2 linked regions of the Bombyx mori genome follow. Each later gene encodes a partner of the first gene's protein in a complex. Links are inferred from orthologs where the notes say so. Each region holds a gene or a part of one and is shown in the gene's direction. Other genes may lie near its edges. The genes, in order: protein suppressor of forked and cleavage stimulation factor subunit 1.

Evidence for each region.
Region 2: the proteins of protein suppressor of forked (region 1) and cleavage stimulation factor subunit 1 are in contact, whole or in part, in a crystal structure (PDB 6B3X), measured with the Homo sapiens proteins. The link is inferred for Bombyx mori from reciprocal best matches to the Homo sapiens genes CSTF3 and CSTF1. Residues at the interface, in NP_001317.1 of Homo sapiens: Tyr581, Pro582, Lys583, Pro584, Asp585, Thr586, Gln588, Met589, Ile590, Pro591, Phe592, Pro594; in NP_001028693.1 of Homo sapiens: Arg118, Glu216, Ala217, His226, Pro227, Ser228, Asp230, Phe231, Thr240, Arg242, Leu243, Tyr244, Cys251, Phe252, Val253, Ser254, Cys255, Tyr270, Ser272, Ser273, Ala274, Asn275, Gly291, Val292, Ser293, Asn294.

Annotation. Positions count from the first base shown.
Region 1 is NC_085129.1:20,048,340-20,051,089, forward strand, and holds part of protein suppressor of forked, read left to right. Parts: intron 1-175; coding exon 176-283; intron 284-405; coding exon 406-494; intron 495-1,917; coding exon 1,918-2,018; intron 2,019-2,750. UniProt on the Homo sapiens protein: One of the multiple factors required for polyadenylation and 3'-end cleavage of mammalian pre-mRNAs.
Region 2 is NC_085130.1:10,343,538-10,347,372, forward strand, and holds part of cleavage stimulation factor subunit 1, read left to right. Parts: intron 1-618; coding exon 619-757; intron 758-1,834; coding exon 1,835-1,995; intron 1,996-2,983; coding exon 2,984-3,134; intron 3,135-3,835. UniProt on the Homo sapiens protein: One of the multiple factors required for polyadenylation and 3'-end cleavage of mammalian pre-mRNAs. May be responsible for the interaction of CSTF with other factors to form a stable complex on the pre-mRNA.

The DNA of each region.
Region 1 (2,750 bases):
CAGTTACAGCGGCTGCCCCACCCTGCAAACCGAAACGCATTACTGCTTCACGGCAGAAATAGGCAGGGCGGGTGGTACCTACCCGTGCGGACTCACAAGAAGTCTTAACACCAGTAAACCCATTTCCCACAAACACAGAAATAACACATGATCTGAATCAACATTTTTTCTGCAGATAAAAGAATTCGAAGGCAAAGAGACGGCCCAGCTGGTGGACAGATACAAGTTCCTCGACCTGTACCCGTGCAGCATCGCCGAGCTGAAGTCTATAGGGTACACTGAGGTCAGTCCACTGAACAGGCCTCAATAGGGCCGCGGTGCTTCCTCGCGTTGGCGGCGAGGTCTCTGACAACGTGCAGGACGGTTTGGCTGATGCGTGATAATGAAATCTGTCTCGGTTCGCAGGTGGCCTCCATGTCGAACAAGTCGTGGGCCCTCGGGGGGCCGCTGGCGGGGATCTCGCCGGAGCTGGCGGCCGTCATCCTGGGGCAGAGGTAGCGCAGTAGCTTTATTAACCCACACAGCCCACTGGTACTGGTGGTAGGACATCTTGTGAGTCCGCGCGGGTAGGTACCACCACCCTGCCTATTTCTGCCGTGAAGCAGTAATGCGTTTCGGTTTGAAGCGTCGTAGATGTCTATGGGCTCCAGTAACCAGTTAGCACCAGGTGGGCTGTGAACTCGTCCACCCATCTAAGCAATAAAAAAATAAAATAGTTTCTCGCCGGATCTTCTCAATGGGTCACGATTCCAATCCGGTGGTAGATTCTGCGGAGCACTGCTCTTGCTAGGGCCAGTGTTAGCTAATTCTCTCAGATCGTGGCCGTGAGCTCACCTACTCATTAACTCGTAATTGGGATAGCCCCTTGGTCTACCAGCAAATGGGTAGGTGAAAAGTATATGTTCCGGAGCTTTTTATGTGTTCCGTGGGGTATGTTCTAAGGAATTGTTCGAGATGATCTCTACAAAAGAGATCACAATCACATGCGAATGTATTTGATGGAACCCTGCTTTTCTTTTGTGGCAGGTAGCCATCATACAACGCAAGATAATTGACAGATGCCTGAATCTCGCTTACGACATTTTCAAGATAAAAGCGCATATATACAAGTTCCGAACAACAACATTTGGACCGTCGGTCTACCGAGCAAATATCACTCGCTCGGTGGAAGATCTTCCTTTTGTCGTTTCAGCATCTCTAAACTTTCTTTCTCTGGCTAGGGCCAGTGTTAGCAACGTCGTCAGGCTGGAGCCTCGTGAGCTCACCTACCAGTCTTGATACAGCCCAAATAACCCCTCTAGGCTCCTAGCGGGAGGGTAGTAAGAAAAAACACTTCTTTTTAATTTTCCTGTAAATTAATTTCGCGTGACGTCATTTGAAGCTAAAACGCACGACGAGACCATACAACGATCATACGACATCGTCCCTCAGTATTTCTATATTGCAAACTAAATATATATATGTATATATGACTTAATAAATGACTTTGGAACCGCTCCGGACGTTCGTCTGTTTGTTTAATATAACGAAGTTTGATTTAGAATTTTATAAATATACTTACGCGCTGGGGTTCGGGATAAATAAAGGTTCCACAAAAGTACAGATTAAAACTGTGTTAACACTTAGAACACTTAACGAACACTTTAAAACTCGTAGTTAATTCTTCCGCTTCGCTTCGAGTAGATCCGATTACTAATTAACTTCGTACCATATCTGCAACGCTTTTATAGTCGATACGACATCCCTAGATTTATCGAGTACATTCTGGGCAAGTCGAGTGCTTCCGCTATCTAACAATAGATGGCGTTGTATTTCTGGAACGTTCTCGGTGTTACTAGTTTCTTTGGATGTTCGTTTCTGATACTCCTCGATAGATGGCGTTGCTCTTACCAAAGTAACAATATATTTTGTTTACAGAGACAACGATCCTAACAAAGACATTGCGCGTCCGGACACCAACCAAATGATTCCGTACAAACCTAAGTCGAACCCACTACCCGGGGAGCACCCCATACCAGGTAATGTCGCATTTCTATGTACGTTTATAGCTTCTTTTACTGGTGGTAGGACCTCTTGTGAGTCCGTACGGTACGTAGGTACCACCCCACCTGTTTCTGCCGTGAAGCAGTCATGCGTTTCGGTTTGAAGGGTGGGGCAGCCGTTGTAACTATACTGAAATCTTAGAACTCATATCCCAAAGTGGACGTCTGCATTTACGTTGTAAAATCTAAGCAATAAAAAAACCAAAAAAAATAAGAAAAGATTCGATTTAAATCGATTCCACAGGAATTTCCTCAAAATCGATACGTTTTCAAGTCCCACATTCCTCGAGCGTCACCTTCTTATCAGCCCACAGAGGTCCACTGCTGGACATGGCCTCCCCCAAGCCTCGCCACAAAGACATGCTCTGCGCCACATAGTACTTGAATATTTTTTTTTAAAAAATTGAAATTGATCTAAATAATTAAAAATAAATAATAGTTTAAAAAACTAACATAATACGCTTTTATAGAAAATCCAACTGAAAAATATAAAATAATTTTTTAATAAATTTGAATTAAAAATAGTGTAAGAAAAAATGATTTTATTGTAGAAAAAGCGTGGCGTGCTTTTCAGGATATAATCAGAATAACCCTTCTACTCATATCTGTTCATAAAATATTTATAACTACTGATACCATACATCCCACGCTTTTTTTTACAATAAAATCATTTTTTCTTACACTATTTTTAACTCAAATTTGCTTAAA
Region 2 (3,835 bases), on another chromosome or scaffold:
CTGTGAGTAATGGGTCGGGTTTCAAGGCTCAATCGTATCTTAGATACTATCGGCGCTTTCTTCAAGTACTCAAAAGTCAGGGGAGCTTACTGAGGAAAGCTGATGGCGATGTTACTAACTTAGACGATGAGGCAATTATAGCTGTACCTTAAAGCGGCCTTGCTAAGAGCCACTTAAAGTCTAACGTGCCGATTTCCATTTTTCCTATAAAACTAAAATTCTGAAGGCTCAACAGAAATATTGAGGAGTCAGTCTCAAAGCTGCGTCCCCGAAACCACGATTGGCGCGCGATATTGTTAGATTAAGGTCGCCATAAGAACAATCATGACTAGGAGATTCAACCCGCAATATTATAATTTGCGTAATTACTGGTGGTAGGACCTCTTGTAAGTCCGCGCGGGTAAGTACCACCACCCCGCCTATTCCTGCCGTGAATCAGTAATGCGTTTCGGTTTGAAGGGCGGGGCAGCCGTTGTAACTACACTGAGACCTTAGAGATTATATCTCAAGGTGGGTGGCGCATTTACGTTATAGATCTCTAGAGGCTCCAGTAACCACTTAACACCAGGTGGGCTGTGAGCTTGTCCACCCATCTAAGCAATATATATTTTTACGCAGATACGACCACACTGATGAAATTACAGCGCTCGATTTTCATCCCCGAGAACAGATCTTAGTGTCGGCATCAAGGGATAACTGCATCAAGCTCTTCGACATCACCAAAGCATCAGCGAAGAAGGCCTTTAAATCAATTACGGTATGCATCGAGAGTTCTACACTACACTACTACAGACGCAGTCTTCTGCAGCTCTGTACTGATCCCGAGCTCTTCTCGTATACAAACAGACACAGATCCGACCTACATCTAGCCTCTAGTCCTATACTACACTACTACAGACACAGTCCTCTGCAGCTCTGTACTGATCCCGAGCTCTTCTCGTATACAAACAGACACAGATCCGACCTACATCTAGCCTCTAGTCCTATACTACACTACTACAGACACAGTCCTCTGCAGCTCTGTACTGATCCCGAGCTCTTCTCGTACACAAACAGACACAGATCCGACCTACATCTAGCCTCTAGTCCTATACTACACTACTACAGACACAGTCCTCTGCAGCTCTGTACTGATCCCGAGCTCTTCTCGTATACAAACAGACACAGATCCGACCTACATCTAGCCTCTAGTCCTATACTACACTACTACAGACACAGTCCTCTGCAGCTCTGTACTGATCCCGAGCTCTTCTCGTATACAAACAGACACAGATCCGACCTACATCTAGCCTCTAGTCCTATACTACACTACTACAGACACAGTCCTCTGCAGCTCTGTACTGATCCCGAGCTCTTCTCGTACACAAACAGACACAGATCCGACCTACATCTAGCCTCGAGTCCTATACTACACGTTGGTTGGAACCTCTGGGTCTGCGGAGGGACTTTGGTTCCCTCTGCATTTTGTACATGGAACATCCGTGGGGAGTGCTCTGAGGAATTCTTCGAGATGATACCATCGTTTTTACCATCGCACCGCCAGCCACCGGCGTAGAGTTCATCCATACTATCTGGAGCCACAGTGCGTTTCCAGAGATATTTTTGCCACGTACCATCCGGCTTTGGAATGAGCTCCCCTCCACGGTGTTTCCCGAGCGCTATGACATGTCCTTCTTCAAACGAGGCTTGTGGAGAGTATGAAGCGATAGGCAGCGGCTTGGCTCTGCCCCTGGTATTGCTGAAGTCCATGGGCGAAGGTAACCACTCACCATCAGGTGGGCCGTATGCTCGTCTGCCTACAACGACTACTGTAGACACAGTCCTCTGACCCTAGGACGCTGAACCAGTACTGTGCGTGGCCTTTCATCCCCTCGGAGATCACATCATAGCCTCGACGACACATCCGGTTATCCGGTTATATGACGTCACTACGAGTCAATGCTTCGTCTGCCCTATACCATCTCATCATCACAAGAAACACGTCAATTCTATTAAGTGAGTATAAAATTTTAAATGCGCACATCTGTCTGTTCGTCATTCGATTTTTTTTACAGTTTTGTATGGATAATGTCGTCACTTAATAGTTAGGTCTCTGACTGCATAGAATTCTGGTTGCATCGTCACAATAAATAGTTGTTTTTAATACGCTTTTAATAGCATCAGACGTATGTTTGTAACGGAATCTTTGAACATGATTTTGACCCTCTTCAAAACGTTGGATTAACTCGAAATTTGGCGTACTTATTAAGAGCCGATGACAATTCAAAATATAAAAAAAAAAATTAAAAAATTTAAATTCAAATAAAAAATGAAAAATAAATAATAGTTTAAAAAAATTAACAAAATACGCTTTTATAGAAAATCCAACAAACAAATAGATTTTTTTTTAATAAATTTGAATTAAAAATAGTTTAAGAAAAAATGATTTTATTGTAAAACAAGCGTGGGGTGCATGGTATCAGTAGTTATCAATATTTTATGATCAGATCGATACTAATATTATAAAGAGGAAAGATTTGTTTGTTTGTTTGTTTCGAATAGGCTCCGAAACTACTGGACCGATTTGAAAAATTATTTTTCCATTAGAAGCCGACATTGTCCATGACGAACATAAGCTACTTTTTAAAAAAAAAAATTTTTTTTTTTTTTGGTATCATGTGTGTTTTAATGTTTCCGAAGCGAAGCGAGGGCGGGTCGCTAGTATTTTATAATTTTGGGGAAAAAAAAAGTTTTTTTTTGTTGTTGGGTAAATCCAAAAAAAATTCCTTTACAACTTTGTTCTGTTACGTTACTTTACGTAAATTACGTTGTGAACTTTTTGGCATCTAATTTTGGACTAATGGCATCCCAATGACATGGGATTATAATGCAAATTGGACTATTTTAAGTGAAGTCTAGTAAATGTGAGTGTTATACAGTTTTTCTCATAACCCAAGTCTCCTCAGGAAAGGGATATGGAGCTTTTATTGTGCTTTCTCTACAGATTCTCGCCTAACGGTAAGTATTTTGCGAGCGGCAGCGCTGACGGCTCCATAAAGCTGTGGGACACCGTGTCCAATAGATGTTTCAACACGTTCACGAACGCTCACGAGGGATACGAGGTCTGCTCGGTCGCTTTCACGAAGAACAGCAAGGTGAGCTCGAATTGTGAACGCAGATCCGGTGATCCATAACTAGAGGTCGGAGTAGGTAGACTGATTTAAGGTCGTTGACTTCAAACGTAGAGGATAATATGGATATGCCTCCAAAATACTGGAACTTCATATTTACTTATTGTGATATGTATTTGTCCGGAATTATGAAATTAGCATGTATCTGTGTTTAAGGTGAAAAACGTACTAATAATATTAATCAACGCTACCAGTGCTAGCTAATGGTGAAAGAAATCAGTATTTTATTTTATACAAAAACGCCTTGGAATAGTTACACCGTATTTTGTCCCTTTCTGTTGAATTAGAAATGATGCTTGTCAGTATGAGACAAAACTTAGACAGGGATTTTTTTTTACTTTATCTCATAAATATAGAAATTGTATCCGATGAGGATTGAAAATATTTTTTTTCAATTTTAAAAAATAATCGTTATGGTTAAAATGGCATGTCCATATTATAATATCTTGACGCAAGTATAAAAAACAATCTACCTACTCCGACCACTGTCATAGAGAATTATAACATTTTTGCAAAAAAAATATAACGCGCAATGTAATATGTTCAATTGACGCGCGGTCAATGAACTCTGACGGAACGTTGACTACCCACAATTATTGTGGGTACGCGAAAAATGCTCACTAAAATGTTACTATTTATTTATGTTTCTTTGTTTATAAAAAAAA